Mus musculus: one gene and its partner. The protein of the gene in region 2 binds, or shares a complex with, the protein of the main gene of each other region. Links are inferred from orthologs where the notes say so. Each region holds a gene or a part of one and is shown on either strand. Other genes may lie near its edges.

Evidence for each region.
Region 1: the proteins of Spindoc (region 2) and Spin1 are in contact, whole or in part, in a crystal structure (PDB 7CNA), measured with the Homo sapiens proteins. The link is inferred for Mus musculus from reciprocal best matches to the Homo sapiens genes SPINDOC and SPIN1. Residues at the interface, in NP_612480.1 of Homo sapiens: Phe256, Ala258, Pro259, Ala260, Val262, His264, Phe265, Thr266, Asp267, Ser269, Phe270, Pro271, Gly273, Phe274, Val275, Leu276, Gln277, Leu278, Phe279, Ser280; in NP_006708.2 of Homo sapiens: Met154, Thr169, Tyr170, Glu171, Pro174, Pro206, Val209, Val210, Leu213, Lys216, Gln217, Val218, Glu219, Tyr220, Thr229, Val232, Val242, Tyr243, Ile245, Phe247, Asp249, Asp250, Tyr254, Val255, Tyr256, Asp257, Leu258, Val259, Lys260, Thr261.

Annotation. Positions count from the first base shown.
Region 1 is NC_000079.6:51,142,223-51,153,361, reverse strand, and holds the end of Spin1 (spindlin-1), read right to left. Parts: intron 9,061-11,139; coding exon 8,827-9,060; intron 4,401-8,826; coding exon 4,201-4,400; 3' UTR 800-4,200; downstream 1-799. UniProt on the Homo sapiens protein: Chromatin reader that specifically recognizes and binds histone H3 both trimethylated at 'Lys-4' and 'Lys-9' (H3K4me3K9me3) and is involved in piRNA-mediated retrotransposon silencing during spermatogenesis.
Region 2 is NC_000085.6:7,370,475-7,381,613, forward strand, and holds part of Spindoc (spindlin interactor and repressor of chromatin-binding protein), read right to left. Parts: intron 5,153-11,139; coding exon of another isoform or gene 5,036-5,152; intron 4,377-5,035; coding exon 4,047-4,376; intron 3,972-4,046; coding exon 3,822-3,971; intron 3,674-3,821; coding exon 3,548-3,673; intron 3,381-3,547; coding exon 3,183-3,380; coding exon of another isoform or gene 3,169-3,182; exon of another isoform or gene 669-3,168; intron 289-668; exon of another isoform or gene 1-288. UniProt on the Homo sapiens protein: Chromatin protein that stabilizes SPIN1 and enhances its association with histone H3 trimethylated at both 'Lys-4' and 'Lys-9' (H3K4me3K9me3).

The DNA of each region.
Region 1 (11,139 bases), on a different chromosome or scaffold from region 2:
CAAGCCTCATTAGTATTAAACGCTTTTGTCATCAGTTTAGCTTCCCAGTCTTCCACAGAGCCACAGCTTATTTAAATACATACCCGATTCATTGGCTAGGAGTGCCCAACCTTCAGACTACATTTTATTACTTTTTCCAGAAAATATTTACTGAGCAGTATCTACTGTACATAGCACAGTGACTCATGTGCTAGATAGATTCTGACAGGCCTGGCTGCAGCCACTCACTGTGACCCCAGTAGTACCAAGCCCTGAAGCCACCAAACAACCATTCTAACAGCAGAAGAATGCAGGAAATGTCTCTATCTTAGCCTTAAACACAGTTTACATTGGTCAGGATAAATACAGAGACACTAAAAAAGATTCTATTTAAGAACATTGCTCACTCTCTACTTACTGTGTGGATTCAGATTCCCATGGGGCAGAGCACAGGTGCTAATAGCATCTTACACTACCAAGTCTCACCGACTTGTATTTAAGAACAAAAAGCACTGGAGGCAATATTTGAAGAATGGGTAGGTATGAAAACACTCCACAAACATTACCGAGTTCTATGTACAGTGATTGCTTGAAGTTTAAAAGTCGGGGTTAACTAACATTTCTTATTAATGTCAAATCAAAACATCAACAGTTAGATCCGAGATGACAGCAATGCCGGCCCAGATCAGATGGCACTGCTGTCACCGCTCAAGCAAACCTTCATTTCCTTCTTTTTCTATCAACCCTGACATTTCCATGTGGTGGAAACACTGCCTGACTTCCAGACCCCTTTCAGCAGATTCAACACAGCAGCACAAAGTTCACAGCCACAAGTTGCACATAAAGGGTTTATTTTAATGTTTTAAGGAAGGATAAGAGTTACATCATAATTATAAAAATTACTTACAGAATTAACAGTTGTACTGTGTATACTTCTAAATGCAGAGAACAGGGAACCGTCTACACGTTGTATAAAATAAAATTAAAATTAAAAATGAATTCAAGCTCAAGAAAATGAGGTCATTTATCTAGTTTTAAATGTGAACACGAAGACCTCTGAACTCTACTCATTCGTTCGAACTGCACCAATGATGGAAACTACAGAGAGCGCAGCATTCCCAAGGAACACAGACATTTCCACCACAATTACTTGTAGTATTTTTCCTGTGTCATCTTTGGAGGACTTTCATCTCTTAGACAATCAGTGTTAAGTGTTTTCAGGCACTACAATTTGTGACGGTCAGAACAATCTTCCTTCTAATGGGTCTACAGTGTTCAGAGATTCAGGCCCAATGCACTTTGGGGTTTGGCACATAAAACAAGAATAGAAATGAAATCTGGCTTAGAAGCAACTGTGATCTTTAGAGCGTGCACAGTCCCTTCGAATGCTGCGTGACATATACAACTGGAATCACCTTCGGTCGGCGCTACGACTGCTTCACCAGTTCGTCTTTACCCTACAACCACTAGAACAGCACAGTAAGCAAATATACAGGAAACCAAAAGCAAACTGAAAGAAAGAGAGAAAGAAAGAAAGAAAGAACCTAGGTCTCTTTGACATGCAATTTTAGTTTTAGTTACATTGAACATTCTACTTAGAAGAGAGCATGCAAAAATGGATGGTCTGCTTTAAGGTTCTTCTCTGAAGTTTACGTGGCAGCCTGACGTCACACACGCACGCACACACGATACGATACTAGAGCAGGTAAGTGAAGAAGGCCAGTAAATTTTATACACAGATTCACGGCCCGTGTTGCCACAAGCCCCATGAAAATTTTGGAAATTAATGCTGAACTCCTAAATGAGGAATCAACATTCAGATACCAGAACAATGCAAGCAATGCATGCAGATCTGAACTGTGAGCCTAAGGGAAGTCCAAGGTGGCAGGCCCAGGAGTCTGTCACCATTAAGGGTGGTGGAAGCCACCAAAAGAAAGAGGGTGGGGTGGGGGAATTAAAAAAAAAAAAAAGAAAAAAAAAACAATTAAAAGACAAACAAACCAAACCTTCCCCTTCCCTCAACCTTATGTAAAGGCAATAAATGGAATCGTGATCAAAATCATCCCCGTCCTCACGCTTTCCTCCTCCAGCCTGGGAGTCCACGGGGAACCAAAGTTAACTGAGGTGGCTTGTAGAAAACCACAATGTAAGTCATCAGATAGTGGCAGACAGGTTCTAACTGACCCAGTCCTTGGGACACTTCAAAAGGAGTTTTACTTTCTAGTCACCATGCCATGTTCTGCACCGTTAGTGCATGCAGGACGTACTCACACCCACTTGTGCCACAGATGACAGCATGGGCTGTGAGTCAGACTCAGCTCGGAGATTTACATGCAGGACGACACCTGGTCACATATACTAGAGGCACCAAAGACTAGGGTATATCATACTGCCTTGAGAAGCCTGTCCCTGGTGCCTATGAGAAAACACTGAGCACACAACGATTGCAGCCAAGGACAGAACTGAGGTACTATGTTCACATGGTGAGCAGTTGTGACCACCCAGCAGTGTAAGGTGGTCAGCCTCTGTGAAAACTAAATGGATAGCCAATAACCATGTGCCTCGAACAGTGAAAAATTTCTTGCATCAGGAAGAACCCCAACTAGGTAATTGTAACTATACTTGGCCAAGCCTCTGGTGTTTGCTTGACAGTATCCAAGACTGTCCAGCCACAGATAGGTTCAACCTCCGTGAGAAACTGGTTTTTACAAACCATCTTTCTACCAGCTGACAAGCTACCATGGTTCTTCCAAAACAAAGTGAGAGCAAGCAGATGTTTGGCTAGTCTACCAACTGCATTTCAGTTCTATTTCAGCTTTAAGCAACCTCCCAGGAATAATCCTGAATGCACTTGATGGCGAAGAGCTGCGATCCACCCATAACTGGCAAGCATGACCTTCCCAGCGACACACACATCATAGACATGCAAAGCCCGGAGGCCATGGAGGGAATAAACCTGCGTGAATAGCACACCTGGGGCAGGAACAGACACTGCCACAACAGGATCAAGGCAAGAAGCCATACTGGTCTAACATTCTCTGTGGGGAAAGCTAGGAGGAGAGGGAGTGAGGGAGGAAGGGAGAAGAGGCCTTCTGACCATAACCATGTATCAATAGTAGTAATCAAAATTACAAAGTCCCAGAGAACTTGATAGAAGGCAACAAGGCCATCCTTAAAACTTACATTTCTAATACAAATGCACTGTTCTTGCAGGAATTCACCACATATACAAACCATTGATGTAGTGTTGCCTTTTAAGTCCATGTACTAAGATCCCGATGACAGGTGTGTACAAATGGACCAATGTGCCATCTAAAAACACATCTTTATTATTCCATGTGAACCAAGGACCTGGGTCGTGGTTTAAAAGTACTTACGATTAAAGAGTAAACAACAGAAACAAATAATAACAAAAACCACAAAAAAACAAAGCTTAGAATTGAAGGCAGCCTTTTACCCAGATTTCTCAACAGTTTACTAAAGACTACTGTGGGTCATTGACTGTTTATGGCTAATTTATACCTGGACTCAGCTAAAAGCCTCCAGACTGAAATGGTACTCAGAAATTCTGACTTTTTAAACAACCTAAATGTCTCTGTGTGCTTCCTGTGCCCAAATTTAATTTTAAACAAAGAGCAGGCATATTATAAATATGACTGACTTGGGTCAAGCACTCCTGTTGAACTGGAGAAAACGTTATCACCCCCACCCCAATCCCCAAGGAAAGGAGAGCCAGCGGTGAGTGCCTCTGTGTGTGTATAATATATACATAGGCACACAGATGCAGATCTAGACAGGTAGCTATATAGATACATAATCTCTCAAAAAAGGCAGTAACAAAAATAACAAACTATGCTTGCATTGTGGCAGCAGAATAAGACAGTGTCAGAGTGAAGGGAAAATGGTTACAATCTATCCAGGTTTAAATGACTATGATACTAGCTTAACGTTTACCACCTTGCTTGTAACCCCCAACAGACAGCTTTCTTGTAAGAGGGAAGACCCCCTCACACAGATGCTTTGAAGAGGGAGGACTCCCCTCACAGATGCCTTGTGTTCGAATCAGTCTGCACTATTCAGAACAACACCAGCTCTGCTGGTGGAGATTGTGGGTTCGCAGGGACATCTAAGCTTTCATTAAACTGGAAAGCAATCAAGTCTTTATGTCTACAAATTATACATTTAATAGTTCCACAAATTTGGCAAAGTTTGTGATGACATCTAGGATGTTTTCACCAAATCGTAGACGTAAATATGGAAATCGTCATCAAACTTGATGAAATAGACAGAGGGCTTGGCCTCTACTTGGTGGATGACCATGCCAGTCCTTTTCGAGCCGTCTTCTTTGGCATATTCCACTTGCTTGCCTACCAGGCTGTCCACAACTTCTCCTGGCTCCCTTTCTGCTGGAGGCGAATCATCTGTATTTAAAAAGGAAAAGGAAAAAAAAAAAAAAAGTCAAGTCAATATTTAGATAGATCACTACCACATTTTGCAGCAAATATAAACACTTCTAAGATATCCTGAGTTTATCATGATCTCGTCAGGTTAACACTTCCTTAAAGGATTACTCTGTAAGTATTTCAGGCACATGGTCCATGTTCCCAGACTCTCATATATGTGAATGCAGCACCAAAGTGGCCAAGGGCAGTCTGGAAGGTAACTGCCAGGAGGTACTTTAGCAAAACACTTCTCCCATGTCTACTGAGCCCCATCCAAACAGATATGAGTGATTTAAATATTATAACTCAAACTCCTTGGGATCACATTAAATTATAACCACAATCATCTAAAATTAATTTTAAATGGCTTTGAAAGCGACTTTCCTACAGGGCTTCCTGAGAACACACTGCTCATCCCAGTGATAAGGCCTGCCCACTGGGGCCCACCCACCTGTAGATCTTATAACTTCCCCTCCTCAACTTCTATGTAGCCAACCATCTTCCACCCAGTTTCAGAATAAAGGAACTAAAGTCTCCATGCTTTACAAGAAAGCACTAGGTGAACTCCACCCAGGGCAGGAAAATGGAAAATCAGATCCCAGAGGATAGCCCAGGTAGCAGCACCATCCCTGAGAGCCCTAGGTTGTAGTTGTCCCTAGGAAAACACAGACCGACAACAAGCCAAACAAAGTGGGATGGGGATGAGACTACTTTAAACCTCTTCTTAGAGGAGCAGACGGGCTCGTGGGTGGCCAAATGTCTTAGGCACACAAGGCAACCTCTGTTAACCTTGGCATACATGGAAGTGCAGGAGTTTACCAGCACAGCGTCCTAGTGTGGCTCATAGAACATGTCTCTATTAACAACCTTTACCTCCAACCACAGCAAGTCTCTCACTGAATAACCATGTGGAACCTACTATAGTGATTCCTGGTACAAACACAATATAAACTACACATGACGACACAGTCAGTTCTTTTAAACTGGAAAGTGAAAAAAGAAATACTTTTTCTAAAAAATTCTCTTCCCTCAGTTGGCATGCACAGAAAACTTCCAAGTTTACCAAGAAATTCCAAATGTATGATCCCAACTGATTGACAGAAACTCTATAGAGTCCAGACCTTCTCCTGAGGCTTACAAAAGGACTGGATTCAACCCAGTGACGGGGCTGCTTGAGAACTACCAAGAAGGTCAGCACCATTCTAATGGGAGACAAACTGTCCATACAACCTACAGGAAATACAGAAGCTTGGAAAGGCACGAGATCAAGTCATTAGAAAAGATGCAGCATTGTGTGTCAAGGACTTGCATGTCGATTCCTAGACTAACAGCACTTGTTTTGATGGGCATCTCTCTAAAGGCTGCAGAATGCTTTTAAAGAACATAGTTCTGAATATAAATCCTAGAGTATATAAACAATTGCCTTTGTAAATACGAACAGTAACTTTTTAAAAATGAAGCAGTCATTCCAGGCCAGACATGTTCATCAGTAATTCCTCTTAACTGGCTTCCTCATAGCAACAACTTTTTAAAAAGTTTTTCAAAGAAAAATAGAAATGACTGTCACAATGCTAATAGTGTGTGCCTGCTAGCCATAAGGTCTCAGGTCAAGAGTCCACGTGTCTAAGGAGAGGTCCTTTTAGAACAGGTTTAGTCTGATGGGCTACAGTTCCAGCACTCAGGAGGCTGGGCTAGGGAATCCAGAGTTTGAGGTCTTGATAAAATAGCAAGACACTCTTTCAAAACAAAACAAATCAAATACTAATTATTGAATCAACAGGCTTATCCAAAAATTACATAAGAAAACAATACCATTTATAGTAACCTTAAAAAATTCTTAGGGGCCAAAGAAAGGAATGTTTAGACTCTAAAAATTACAAAAGACTGCTGTAAAACGTCACACACCCAAAGCTTTAAAAAAAGCATCCGCAGTCACAGAGTAGAAGAGTTGCTAACACTTGTTATTAAGTGAGGGCAGCACACTCTGCAGGCAGACATGACCGACAGAATCCCAGTAGACCTCTTTACAGACACTGTCAAATTGACTTCAAAATTCATATGCAACTGCAAGAGACCCAGACTAAACAGCCAAGGCAGCCCTGGGATGAACTACGGCAGTGGTCTCACACTTCTGATTTCAATATTTACTACAGAACAATGCAATGCAGTGTGGGAGCTGCAAGGGGAGAGAGAGAGAGAGAGAAACAGAGGAACAGAGCTGGGGATCCAGACATATTCACATATCCACGAAAGGATTCAACAAGATGTCAAAGCCATTCTATGTAAGAAAGAGTAGTCTTTTCAATACATGGTGCTCAGCCACATGGGGATCTACACAAAAAAGAGTGAGCTGACCTCTTCTACCCTGACCTCACACTATACCACATGTTATTTAAAAAACATATCCAACTATGAACCATGTGAAAGAAAACAAAAGGCCTAACGTTAGGATCTTTATTCGGCAAACCTAAAAACAGCAAAAGCACAAGTAACAAAAGACACGAACTGGACCTGAAAGTTAACCACCTCGGTGTCTACGATCCTCAAGATGAGAAAAGACAGAGGAAATGGTACTGCACACCTGCAATCCAGCATGGGGACATGATCACAGAGCAGGAAGACGGAGACTTTGAGGCCAGTTTGGATCATATAGTTACCTGAAGGCCAGCCTAAGCAACATGGCAAGGATCTGTTGTGATGGACCCCCCTACCAAGTGAAAAGACAGCCCAGAGAAGGAGAACATCTTGAAATCCAATTTCTAATAAAAGACATGTATCTACTGACTCTAAGCAATCATTTCACCAGAGATACACAAATGTCTACTAAGCACACAAAAAGATTCCTATGGCATCACTGGTCACCAGGGAAACACAAAGTAAACCACAACGGGAAACTACATCCTCAGTAGAAGAACTATTAGAATGAAAAAGCACGTGCTGGTGAGGAGGAGAGCAGACCCTCGCCCACTTGAAGACAACGCAACCTGGAGATGACACCAAGACCAAAGAATTCCACTTAGAAGTACACACTAAGGAAAAATATGAACACACACCCACAGAGGATCTCACATACTGTTTTTATAAAACACCAATATTCATAGTAACCAAAAATACAGGAACAACCCAAATATGAATCAACAGCTAGACAAATGAAATACAATATAATCCTAACGCTTGTTCCAACATGAGGGAAATGCTAAATAAAAATCGAGTCACAAAAGTCCACACAAGACCCATTCACATGAAACTCCACAGCAGTAAAATTACTGGCTGCTTAGGGCTGTGAGTAAAGGACAGGGAGATCAGAAATAAAAAAGCTGGGCATGGTGGAGGCAGGGGTTTGAGGAATTCAAAGTCATCTTCAACTAAGGAGAAAGGTCAAGATCATCCTAAACTCCCATTGCAAACTAGGGGTGGTAAGCAGCAGGGCCTTGGTGATGCAGCAGTGCTCTGAGGCTAATGGCCTGGACAAGCATTCGTGGCTGTGAATATACTAAAACCCACTGGATTGACTTTACAGCACAAAAACAAACCCCCGAACCAAAAACCAAACCAAACCAATTAAACGGAAAAATGAAACTGCTCTATGTTTGAAGCAAAATCTGCATAGACGGCCGGGAGGCCTTTAATCCCAGCACTTGGGAGGCAGAGACAGGTGGATTTCTGAGTTCGAGGCCAGCCTGGTCTACAAAGTCCAGGACTTTGGACTGGGAGTTCCAGGACAGCCAGGGCTACACAGAGAAACCCTGTCTCAAAAAAACCAAAACAAACAAACAAAAAAACCCTGCATAGACACAGGGTACACTACTGTTAATCCCAGCACTCTGGAGCTCAAGGCAAGAAAGAGATTGATTAAATTCAAGGCCAGTTTAAGTTATAAATAAGTTCCGGGCCAACCTCTGCTACATGGCTGTCTCAAAGAACAAAGCCCGGCTCCAGAAGCCCATGTCATTACTCCACTGCCCACTCTTCCCTGCATCAGCTGTGACTGAACGTTCTCTCCAGGTCAGCTTTGCTTTTGTGATGCTAGGGATATAAGACAGGGCCTCACAGGCGTTTGGCAAGCCCCCTCTCTAGCACTGAGATTTATCTAAAGGCTCCAATTAACTGTTTTCTGAAACCAGCTTCCTTGCCAATTCAATATACACAGATGAAATCATCAATGTCAATGACCTGCTCCAAAATAAATCATCTAGGGGAAGGACCACACTTGCAATGGGAACAGCTACTGAAAGCAACAGAACGGATTCACTTTATTCCTACATGGCTACATACTTCCCATTAACAAAAAAAGTCCTCACTGAAATGTCTCTAAATATTTAAAATAACCTTCCTAAGTGATCATTCCGTCACCTAAGGTTCACAAGTAAAAATTCCTTTCAAATCACCAGTGTGTGAGACTTACTGGAATCAGGCATGATGCGGAGGTCGCCTTCTTTGTAGTCATCGAGGAGCTGGTACATGTACAAGACAGGGTCTTTCTCATAGGTGATGTAAAACCATGTGTTCATGACAGGCGCCCGTGCCAAGACCATCCCCCTCCACTCATCTTTAGAGCCGTCCTCTGTCTCAAACATGTGCTCCACTGCTTTGCCGATCATTGTGTCCGCTAAGTGTGCATCGCTGATCCGAGATGTTGCTGGAATTAGAAGAGCAAAATACTTGAGCAAGTGTTTACCAAAGGATCTCAGACGAGCAACTAAACTACCAAACCAAATGCCAGGGTCTATCCCAGATGTGGACTAAACAGGAAGAAATCTGCCCCGAGGTGAGTAACAATCTGTTCTGTTACTCTCTGTGCTCAGTTGCTCAGTATTCTATCAGTATTATTATCCACACGCTGTGGGTGGTTTCACTGGTTAGCTAGCAGTTACTTTAAGCTATGAATTAGCATGAGACTCACTGGTAGCAACAAGAGCAGAGTCCTCACGCACAGCACACATGCTGCCTCTTCCTGTATCATGTGAAGTCCTCTGAGCTCTCCATGTGCCCACCCACCCTCACATACATAATGCAAAGTATTAACCTAACATGCATGTGTTATAGTTTTTAAACAAACAGAGGTTCACTTCTCATCACTGCTCTGGGAAGTTATTCTTATGCCTATAATGTATTCTCTATAGCAACTAGAGTGATCACTATGGTCCCTAAAGAAAACTATCATTTAAAATGTCTCCATCCTTCAGCCCCTCTGTCTCTCCTCAACTTGAAAGTTGGCTCAGTCTACCCAAAGTTCTTTCTATCTTCAGGGGACAGGCTATTTCCTTAGCAAGATTGCTAGAGCTCTCCAGGACAACTAGGGACAGTGGCACCACCACCTTCCCCATGTGCTGATCCGTTCTTAGTTAGCAGTCCCATTACCTAACGCTACTTTGTTTTATGGAGCGGCTGACCTGGGTAGTGTCTGGATATCCCCATGAAGCAGGGCCATTTCTGTTCCTAGCACTTAGAGCAGTTTCAGGATGACTGAGTGGTACCACAGACAGCCCAGGGATAGCCCTAGGTCTACTCTGTCATTCATACAAAAAGCAAGTAAAGAATTACCAGCCTTTTTGTGTGTTGCTTTTAACATGGGACAGGTTATAAAGGGTGTCTCTCCAGTCCTCACAGTCTAGACAACTGTCTTTCAAACTACTCAGTTCTCTTTTCTAGTCACTCACTATTAAAACTGACTTTTCTAGTCAGTTTCTCTATTAAAATCCAAAGGAAAAGAACTTCGGACTTTCTCAGCAAGTATAATGCTATTCAATGTACTTAGAACATACAAGTTGTTTGTGGTATTACATATACAACAGCAATCAGAAACAGCATGAAATAGGCCCTGCAGAACACTTAAAACATATGTGGAAGCACAAGTGCACCCCCAACCCCAATGGCTTCTTCAAACTAGGAATCATTAAAAATTTAGTAAAAGTAAAAAAATGGGAGCAGGGCGGGGGAGGGTATAGGGGACTTTTGGGATAGCATTTGAAATGTAAATGAAGAAAATATCTAATAAAAAATCCAAAAAAAGTAAAATAATTTCACATTTTTGATTTTTTGTTTATTTGTTTGACTTTGTTTTTCGAGGCAGGGTTTCTCTGTGTAGCCCTGGCTGTCCTGGAACTCACTTTGTAGACCAAGCGGGCCTCGAACTCCCAAGTGCTGGGATTAAAGGTGTGTGCCACCGCTGCCTGGCTATATTTTTGAAATCTTAATGTCTAGTTAAAAGCATTTAAGATATTGCTTGTGCATGTATGTATATATGCATGTAAAGGCCAGAGAAGGGTATCAGATCCCTTGGAGCTGCTGTGATAGGTATTGCTGGATGCCTGTCCTGTTTAGCAGTTGCTGAACTGGCTGAGGTCCTGTTGAATGCTCAGCAAATATTAAGTGTTAAGCCACCTCTGGCTTTCTTTATGTGTAGTTTTTTAAAACAACTTCATTCAGTTATATGAGATCCACCCTCACAGTGATCTGATGTTTAAAAAAAAAAAGATTTTTAGTGAGCTGGTGAGATGGTTCAGTGGTTAAGAACGCCGACTGCTCTTCTGAAAGTCCCAAGTTCAAATCCCAGCAACCACATCGTGGCTCACAACCATTCTGGAGTGTCTGAAGACAGCTACAGTGTACTTACATATAATAAATAAATCTAAAAAAAATTCTTAATTTTTCCCCAGATAATTCTAGCTATTCGTTTGATACTACAAATTATACAGGAGTGTCTGAAGACAGCTAC
Region 2 (11,139 bases):
TCCAAAAGCTTTCTGTTTATTGTAAACAAGATTAAATAAAGTTAACCATAGGTCAAGAGGTGAAGCAAGCAACCAAGTGATGTGACAGGGAGCGAAGCTAGGAAACTACCACAGAATAAGAAGTCAGGAGGATGGACCCAGGCACACAGGAAGGAGAAGGGAGGGACACTCACTTGGGGGAGGGGTTGCAACAGTGTGGAGATGGAGAGCTTTCCTTTTGGGATGTATATTCTCTCTCTCTCTCTCTCTCTCTCTCTGATCTCATCTAGCAGGCTTTCACTCCCAAGTCTGAATTGGTAAAATCAAACAATTTGTTAAAAACAACATACTGGGGACTGGAGAGATGGCTCACTGGTTAAGAGCACTGACTGTTCTTCCAGAGGTCCTGAGTTCAATTCCCAGCAACCACATGGTGGCTCACAACCATCTGCAATGGGATCCGATGCCCTCTCTTCTGGTGTGTCTGAAGAGAGTAACAGTGTATTCCCATATATAAAATAAATAAATCTTAAAACAAACAAAGAAACAGAAAACCCACCCACCATACTATTCTAGGTGCTGAGGACATAAAAGTGAGCCAAACCAAAGAACCTTCTGAGGCTCACGTTTGCAGGTGCAGCACCGCACTTCCTCTCACTGCCTTCCTGCTCAGTTCAGCTTGGAGATACCTTGCCTGTGGCTGTGGTGACCAGCTTCCCGAGTTAGCACTTGAAAAGTGGACACAGGAGGAACAAGAATTCAATGCCAGCCTTGGTTACATAGTTTAAAGCCAGCCTGGGCTATAGAAGACCCTGTTTCAAAAAAAAAAGCAAAAGCCAGGTATCACACAGTGGCTTACAATTGTACTGTAAGCACTTGGGGAGCTGAGCAAAGAAAATCACGAATCATGTGTTCTAAGCAAACTGGGTCAACAGAGTAATAAAAAGCCTTTACCACCCCTCTCCCCTGGAAGGACTTGTGGACACATCAGTTTACTTTCTCTACTGCTTTGTAAATTCCTTTATCCACATGTTGCAAACAAGGTTCTTGGAAAGTTCCAGAAAGTTTTCCCAGGCAGCTTCATATGCATATCCATTAGTTCAGCAAAGCTGACGCCAGTGAGCTTGTCTTGTTTCTGTGTCTATGATTTTTACTCATCTTTTCTTTGGGGTAGAACTTTACTTCTATGAAAGCTGAATACCCTGGAGCTGTCAAACCTCTGGGTCCCCAAACAAGAAACCAGCAGAGGCTTTGCTCTGACAAGGTTCCATATACCATGACAGTACCAGGACACACTGCTACCTCCTCAGTCCCATTCTCTCCCTCTGCCACCACCTGTGATGCCCTGACCCAGTTTGCTTCAACTCACCATCCCAGATAGGTAGTTTGGGCACAGGATACCCCAAGACTCATGATGAAGGAGTCCTTCATCTGTGAAGGCGGAAGGCCCCAGGTTGATCAAGGAGGCCCAGAAGCATGCAAGTCCAAGGAGGATATGGCTGCCCAGGAAGTAACACTGGAATGTAACTGACTGAAGGAAGTACATGAGTGAGGCCTGTCTTAAGAGTGAAGACCATTTAGGTAAACAGAGGCACATAGTGCACTCCTCTACAGACTTCTGATGAAGAAAAAGGATATGACCAAACGAGTAAAAGTGGGCACTACGGACAAGGGAAATCACATGCTTGCTTGCCTCCATACTGAAAGCTTACCTCTTCTTTGCAAGCCCCATGCCAGGTCTATGGTTGCCTATTAGCTGGTTTACTTATCCCAGCACCAAAAGCATATTAATGAAGCATTTCTAACTTTATGGGACAAGGGTCTAAGCACTCCCCGGCAACAACCAATCCTTCATTCACAAGTTGCTTATCCTGAGATGCTGTAATCTGAATTCAACATTACAAGGGGAGGATCCAGCCTTAGCCTCCCCGAGGGCACTGCAGTCTTCATTTCCCCATAATGGTACAGGACTGTAAGTTAGCAGAAACACCCTGGAGCTGTGGACATGCCTCAGTGTTTAAAAGTACACAGGAGTTTGATTGTCAGTATGCACACTGGGAATAAAGGCATGCACCACTACCACCCGGTTATAAATCTTTTAAAAAGCTTATAAAATAAAACTAAATTAAAGAGCTGGACAGGAGCCGGGCGTGGTGGCACACACCTTTAATCCCAGCACTTGGGAGGCAGAGGCAGGCGAGTTTCTGAGTTGTTCTGGAACTACAGAGTGAGTTCCAGGACAGCCAAGGTGATACAGAGAAACCCTGTCTCAAAAAAACAAAAACAAAAACAAACAGAGCTGGACAGGGTAGCGAATGCCTTTAATCCTAGCACCTAGGCAGAGGCAGGGAGGTCTCAAGTGGACTGAAGCCAGCTCTGTCTACATCATGAGTTTCAGGACAGTTAAAGCTACATAGTGAGATCCTGTCTCAAAACACCAAAAAAAATTAAAAACAATAAAAATGTGTTTGTTTGGTTTAGTTTAATTGGGGAGGGGAAATATGTGAGCCATGGACACGTGGAGGTCAGAGGGTACTTTCAGTAGCCTGCTTCTCTCCTTCTCATTTTGGGGACTGAAGCCAAGTCGTCAGTTTGGCAGCACATATCTTCACCTGATGAGCCGATATCTCCCCGCTCCCCATGTACAGCTTACGGAAGGAGCTTTTTTGGGTTCTGATTTGTAAAGATTGGTTCTCACTCTGTAACCTAGGCTACTTCCAACCTGTGGCAAACCTGTCTCAGACTTTCAAGTGTTAGAAACCACGTTATGCTTTGTTTATAAGGTATTTAATAAGGATCAAATGAATTATATTCAAGAGTTTCTCAGTCAGTAGGCTAGGTTATAACCACAAACAGCAGCTGTCAATGGAAGTTCACTTGTATTATTGAGAATCCTTTTGATGTTCATCACTTGCCCATGGTCCCCACACCTGTTTAATCTTGGGCCCCTCTGTCACCAGAGTGACGGAAGCTCTTCCAGAGCTCCAGCCTCATGGTCTGAGCTGAGCACCAAGCGTTGGAAGGCCTAGCAAAACTTAATGACCACTGCCAGAGATGCCCCACTTAGAGGCCAGCTTCCTCAGCATTCAAACCCCTGTCCTTGGCCTTCTCTTGAAGGCCTAAACACCCAGCACCTCTATCTGGGCTCTGGCTGTGATCCAGGGACTCAGCTTTCCTCACCGGCCCCTCCTAGCAGGGCTCACCTGAAGAGGGGTTTTGTGGCTGGGGCAGGCCCTCTGCTGCTCTGCTGTCCTTAGAAGAGTCCTTACAGTCAGTGGTCCTGAGCTGAGTGTGGGAGAAGAGCTGGAGGACGAAGCCAGGAGGGAAGCTGCCATCAGTGAAGTGTCGGACTTCAGCTGGTGCTGCGAATGTCTCTGTGGGTGACTCAGGAGACGGGGGGTCTGGAAGAAGGCCACACAGAAGTGTGTATGAGTAGAAGAGGACAGATCCCAAAGGCTCAAGCCCTAAGCTTCAGCCGAGCTCATGCAGAAGTTCTCTGGTGTCCACTTCCTCATGGACTTCATGCTCCAGTGTTACAGCCAGGCTCAGCAGCCCTAAGTCCCCTCACCTGGGTCAGGGTCCAAGATTTTGGTCATATGCCTGCTTCTCTTCTTTCTAGCAGGTTCATTCTCAGGGGACTCTTTCCATCTCTGACCACGGGGCTTTTTATTCCCTTGCTCTATGACAGGGGTAACTGCAAAAGAAAACAACTTTAGTACTTTCAGGCCACTCACTCTTTACCCGAGGTTTACTCTTTAACCTCAGGTTCCTGATAACACCTGCCCACCCCAGCCCCTTAGCACAGGATGTCCCACTAAACCAAAGCTTCCCTGTTGACTGACCGGGCAGCTCAAGGGGGCGGAGTCCTCTGGGCCGGAGCCTCTTAGGAAGGGATGGGTTGTCCTCGGAATCCAAGAGGACCACTATCTCTGCTGGCATCCTGACAGGATCCGGGTTGGAGATGGGGTCTGGCTGGCCATCCTGGCCTGACTCTGAGGGGGCAAAAGCCCACTGAGCTCGAGGGCCCCCACAGGCCCCACTTCTCCCTCAGCCCTCACCCTTACTACCTAGGCTGGGCAGGGATGGCTGGTCAGCTTGGATGTCTTGCAGAAGGGCAACCCCTTCACTCCAGGCTTCTAAGATGTTGCTCTTCTCAGAGGGGCTCAGGTCCAGGGTGTGAGGATGCTGCTCCAGGATGTGTGCGCGAGCAGTGTCTGCTGATGGGGACCGGATCTCAGCCCCACACACCATGCACAGCGCCCGTCCACTGCCTCCTGGGCTGTTCCCCACCAGGAACTCCTGCTCCCATGACACTTGCTGCTTGAGCTCCTCACAGCCTTCAACACCTGCTTCCAGCAGGTTAGGCCGAGGTGGCGGCGTCTTTTCCTGTTGGGTTACTGCAGAAAGGGGAATGTGCTGTGAAGATGCCAGGGCTGATGATGCTGTGTGGGATGGGTGATTCTTGTGCAATGTTCCATCCCCCCATCAGATCCTAGCCAACCAGCATGAGGCACACAGGGTGCCTGATACTGCACGTATCCCTTTACTTCTCATCTAGTCATGGTCCCACCCCCAGCTTCTAGAGCTGAAAGGCATCATATGCCTGCCTTTGATCATCTGGCAGGTATCATTCCTGTGAGGCTTCTTCTAGGTTTCCTCACCTAAGAGTCAACTCTGCCCACATCCGATTTGTAGGCCACAGTGTACATACTTCAGTCTCAAGTAGTCTAGCCTTAAATTTACTATGTAGTGAAGGTCAATTTTAAATTCCTAATCCTCTTGCTTCCACCATGCCTGGTATTTGAAGTGATAGGAATCAAACCCAGGGCTTCATGTTTGCTACACTCTACCAACTGAGACATAACCTTAACCACCCCCTTTAAAGTATTAACTAGTGGATGTATAATGTAGGGAGGAGGGTGGGGTGGGTGGGTGGATGGAGCCATGACACATGTGCCAAGGAGTGCAGTGGAAGGCAGAGGACAGTGCTGTAGGATGAAGTTCCATCCATCCACCCTCACATGGACTCAAGAGGCTTGAGGTCACGCGTGGTTACCTAGGATGGCCTTGAAATCAGAACCATGGGGGTGACTTTTACACACCCTCTCCCTTTCAGTTTCCAGTCTGAGATGCAGCCTTGGCTCCCTCTGGACCACCAGCTTGTGTGCTGAACCTAAGAAAATACTTTTCAGAAAATTTTATCTCAATGCTATGGTATCTTTTAATAAGTACTGCTGTCCTTTTAACAGCGGCTCACAAACATCCATTCTTCCAATAAAGCAAGGTTTCACTTGCTTTTTTTTTTTTAACTAATTTTTGTTCCATGTGCATTAGTGTTCTGCCTGCATGTACATGCTCTTGCATGAAGGCGTCAAATCCTCAGGAGCTGGAATTACAGACAGTTGTCAGTGGCCATGTGCTCTTAACTACTGAACCATCTTTCCAACCCGCCAACTTGCAGATTCTTAAAATTTAAATATATGCCACCATCAGCCGTGATAGGATCCTTTGCTTCTGTCAGACGCTCACACACCAACCCTTGGTTGGCTATATTTCTCCCTTTTCCCTCCTGAGACAGGGCTTCCCTGATAGCCTTTGCTGTCCCTACAACTCTTCCCCTTCCCTCTTCCTCCCAAATTCCTCACCCCCACCCCCATGCCTGGTGCTTCTCTTGACATTCTTATCTTTTAAGCTTCTACTACAGCTCATTAAACTCTGAGCACTTCCCGGCTAAGTTCTAAAGGCTTCCACAACCCTCCCATCAAACCTCTACAGATCCACTACAGCAATATCCAATTCTCCTGGTACCAACTTCTGCCCAAGTTTGGTTCTGATGCTGTGATAAACATAACCAAAAGCAACTAGGGGAGTATGTTGACTAGTTTTTGTCAACTTGACACAGCCATAATTAATAGGAGTCTCAACTGAGAAAATGCTTCCATATGATCAGACTACCCAAACCTATTGAACATTTTCTTATTTAGTGATGTGGAAAGGCCCAGGTCATTATGGGTGGAGCCATTCCTGGGTTGCTGGTCCTGGTTCTATAAGAAAGCAGATTAAACAAACATAAGAGCAAGTCAGTAAGCAGCACTCAGGACATCTACAGCAGCTCCTACTTCCAGGTTCCTGCCCTCGCTTCTTTTGAAAAGTAAATGGAACTGTGAATAAAATAAATTCTTTCTTCCCCGTATTAATAAACAAACAAACAAACAAACAAACAAACTGCTGAATTAGATCAACCTGTATACTTACTTTAAAGGTGTTTTAACATCAGAATGGAAGTCAGGGAATGTGCTGCATTGGGGAAGAGGTTTTGTCTGTGTTCCCACAAGTGAAAGACTATGGATTTTATCAAAATTGATAAAGATATGATCTGAATAAAGTCAGCTCTCACATGAAAGACAGGACTCAGGAAAGAGAGTTGCAGAAAGACAGCAACACAGACAACATAGGAAGCTGACTTGCCCTGCATGAGACCAGTTCAACAAACTCGCTGAAAAAAGACAGATCCTCAGTTCATTAGCAGACTGGGAAACTCTGCTGTGCAATGAAGAACAGCTATCAGGGCTACAGTTAGGAAGGAACGTCACATCAGCAGAGCTTCACAAGGACGTTCAGACTGGTAAGTCTGTGTGACCGATAACTATTTCTGTTGTGAAAGTTAAACTGTGTGTAATTTTTACCTTGACCAGAAAGGGGGAGTTACAGAGAAATTTTATTCCAGCAACTTGGATTTGGCTGGAAAGACACACCTTTAATCCCTCAGACTAGAATACAGACACACCCTTAATATGCACCTTTAATCCCTCAGACTAGAATACAGACACACCCTTAATATGCACCTTTAATCCCTCAGACTAGAATGCAGACACACCCTTAATATGCACCTTTAATCCCAAACAGTGTAAGTTAATTTGAAGGAAACTGCCATTTTTGAAAGTGACCTCTAGTTGAGGGGCACAAAAAGTGACAAATCAGAGAAAGATGTGATAAAAGAGTCAGAGATAGGATATGCTCAACAAATAGAAAGGAAAGGATGTAAAAGAACAGCGCGCCCGGGCACACACACACTCACACACACACACACACACAGAGACAGAGAGAGACAGAGAGAGAGAGAGAGAATGAGAAAAGTTTTACCAAGACAAGTTACAGAATGAAAGGAGCCAGAAGCCAGAAGATTAGAACAGATTGCCAGAGTTAGTTTGAGGCTAAGCAGAGCAATCCAGAAGCTGAGAGAAGCCTTTTGAATTGGTCAGCTTGGGGGAATTCAGGCAGGAAGAGCTGAGTTGAACCAGCCAACCAGAGTTGAGAAAGAGCTACAAAGGGTGAGTTTATTCACCAGTAAGCCTCCAAGATGACAGTTACACCGAGAGGACAGTTACATCTGGTGAGTCAGCATCAGAGGCTGAGACAGTCTAGGCCTAGATTAGATTGTATGGAGCCAGAAGCTTCCAGGCCTAAGCCTATGGATAAACAGAACAGAGAAAGAAATGCTCTGGGCTCAGTCCAAGCTGTCTATTTGCACAACCTGGGTGCAGCTCGCATCTCATCCCTTCATCTAAGAAAGTAAGTTACTTTTCTATTTCCCTAAGTTGCTTTTGGTCATGGTCATCACAGCAACAGTAACCATAACTAAGAAAAGAAAGGGTTACTTAAACCGTTAATTCATCATCTAGGGACACCAAGGCAAAGGTGAAGCAGAAACCAGAGAAAGAAAAGGGGCTTACTAGTTTTCTCCCAAGTTCCTTTAGCTACCTTTCTATACACAGCTCTGGCCCAATAAGCAATCAAGAAAATGCTCTATGGTAGACCCACAGGGTAATCTGACTGAGGCAACTCTTTGAATGAGGTTCCATCTTCCCAGATGGCAACCAAGATTAACCACAATGTAAATATCCCCCCCCCCCCCCCCCCGACAGGGTTTTCTCTATATAGCCCTGGCTGTCCTGGAACTTACTTTGTAGACCAGGCTGGCCTCGAACTCAGAAATCTACCTGCCTCTGCCTCCGGGGTGCTGGGATTAAAGGCGTGCACCACCACGTCCGGCTAATATAGTATATATTCTTTTGGGAGTGAAAATACTAAATTTGGGCTGGAGAGATGGCTCAGTGGTTAAGAGCACTGACTGCTCTTCCAGAGGTCCTGAGTTCAATTCCCAGCAACCACATGGTAACTCACAACCATCTGAAATGGGATTTGATGCCCTCTTCTGGTGTGTCTGAAGATAGCTACAGTATACTCATATACATAAAATAAATCTTTAGAAAAGAAGAAAGAAAATACTAAAGTCGATCAATGTGATGGTTTGTATATGCTTGGCCCAGAAAGTGGCACTAATAGGAGGTGTGGCCTGGTTGGAGTAGGTGTGTCACTGTGGCAGTGGGCTTTAAGAGCCTCATCCTAGCTGCCTGGAAGCGAGTCTTCTCCTAGTAGCCTTCAGATGAAGATGTAGAACTCTCAGCTCTGCCTGCAGCTTGCCTGCCTGGCCGCTGCAATGTTTCCACCTTGATGATAATGGACTGAACCTCTGAACCTGCAAGCTAGTCACTATTAAATGTCTACGAATTGTCCTGGTCATGGTTTCTGTTCACAGAAGTAAAATCCTAACTAAGACAATCATCTTATTGTTACCAAAGAACTGGCATGCAGAAAATGGCTGTCCTGCCAAAGGTCAGCCTGTCTCTTACAAGGAAAAGCCTTCCTTTTCTAGGGTGCTCCTGAAGGATGTGCAATGATGGCCATGTCCCTGTGGCTTGTGTTACCAGATCTCTGAGATGAGAAAAGTTCCCTCGGAGCAGAACTGCTCAATGCAGAGGCAGTCTGGTCCTCTTCTGTCTGTGCCTGTGAATCCGAGTACTATAACTCCTCCTCTACCAACTGGGACCTAGGAAAAGGGCACTTCTGGAATAGTCTAGGTTCTATAAGACTGGACCCCTAGTTTCAATTGATCTTTTTCTCTTAATTCTCCTAAACCAGGGTTCATGAAGGTCAACCAGCCCAGCCAGCACTTCTTCCTCACAGTACTTTTAATCTTGACTTCTGCTACTCAAAAGCATTCAGGAAACTACATGCCTTTGGTTCTCTTTCTGTTCCTCCTCTTGTCACCTACCTGGGTCTTTCCCCTTCCCTTCGGAAAATCACACTGACGACTATTTCCTCAACTCCCCACAGAAGCTGACCATCTCATCCCCCTCTGTGCCATATTTCCTCCACAGCACAGTATAGGCCCTCAACAGATGTCTGTTTGTGTCTAAATCTCAAGCACTAACAGCACTAGACATCAATGACAAGGGACTGACCTCAGCTCTTTGATCCCTTTGGCCTCCTCCTTTGGGTAATTCTCACCTGCTGCCTTCTGACAACTCCCATACTTTCCTTCAGCAGTAGTGGGACTGACTGAAGGGCCATAGACTTGTACTTGGTAGCTAGCTGAGTATTCACCAATGAACTCTATTTCTAGCTATCTTTTTTACTCTGAGACAAGATCTACTATCCAGGCTGGCTGAGAATTTGTGATCCTCCTGCATCAGACTCCTGAGTAACTCAAATTACAAGCCTGATAAGCATATCAGGCCTGGCAACTCATATTTATACCCAGGCAAGACACCCAAGAGAATTCTAGATGTCGATATCCAACTACCTACCTAATCATGATCCTAGAGCCTATAAGAGACGTTGAATTTAACAATATTCAAAGCCTATTCCCAATCTACACCGCAGCAGTCTCAGTAAACTGGGAGATAATCCTTCCACTTTCAAGTAACAAGACTGGTAGTTTGAGTGACAATGGCCTCCAAAAGACTCATACTCATGAATGCTTGGTCCATGGATAGTGGAACTGTTTGAGAATTAGAAGGTGTGGTTTGTAAGAGGTGGTGGATCTCTAGGCTTTGAGCTTTTAAATGCCGAATGCCATTCCCAGTTAGTACATATGCTCTTTCTCTCTGCCTCCCCCAGTTACCGCCTGTTCTCTCTCTGCCTTGTGCTTGTGGAACAGGTTAAGCTCTCAGCTATTGCCCCAGAACTATGCCTGCCTGCTGTCATGCTTTTAGTTATGATGGTCATGGACTCTAACCCTAAACACTCAACTTTAAAAAAACCCAAAACTATAGTTTTGGTGTTTTGAGACTGGGTTTTCCTATGTAACCCTGGCTGTCCCTGGGCCTCAAATGTTAAGATTTAAAGGTGTATGCCAGGAAGTCCCATAAACACCTTTTGTTTATACTTTGCATTGGTCATGGTGTTTGTCACAATAGAAAAGTAACTAAGACAAAAACAAAACAAAACAAAACAAAAAAACCAACACCTTATTTTTTCTTTTAGAAAACATTATCTCATCCGGGGGTGGTGGCACACGCCTTTAGTCCTAGCACTTGGGAGGCAGAGGCAGGCAGATTTCTGAGTTCGAGGCCAGCCTGGTCTACAGAGTGAGTTCCAGGACAGCCAGGACTATACAGAGAAACCCTGTCTCTGTACCAAACCAAACCAAACCAAACCAAACCAAAACTATCTCACTATAGCTCTGGTTGGCCTGCAACTATATAGACTAGGATGACCTGAAACTCCCAAGTCTGCCTGCCTCTGCCTCCTGAGTGACAGAATTAAAGATGTGCACCACTGTGCTGAGCCCAAAGAATAATACTTTGAACTCATCCACTTTCTCATACTCTAGATGTTCTTAGAACCTTGAGCTAAGCCAAGAGGCTTCTAAAATCTTTCCACTTGGTCTTCTAAGCTCTCTTTCATTCTTACTAGAGATACTTTTCCTAACAAGAGAAACAAATTCTAACTAGCCTCTCATTTCTCTTTATCCCCATTCTGTAGTCTCTAAACGAACTGATTACTGGGCAGGGAGAAGACTGGGCTAGTAAGAGCTCTTACTGCCAACCCTGATGAACCAAATTCAATGCCACAGTGCTGTGAGAACTGACTCCCAAGAGTTGCCCAGATCTCTTCATACTTGACGCAACTGACAAACAGACACAGGCACAGACACACACAACAAAGAGAACTCACTGCCACCTAACATACTATTCGATATTTACCTGCTGGCTACCACTGGATGCACACTTAAGAGCAGGGTTTCACTTACCCTGGTCCCTACTGTTTACCATTCTCAGCTCTGCCTGAAGCTATATGCTTGGCATATAGCTG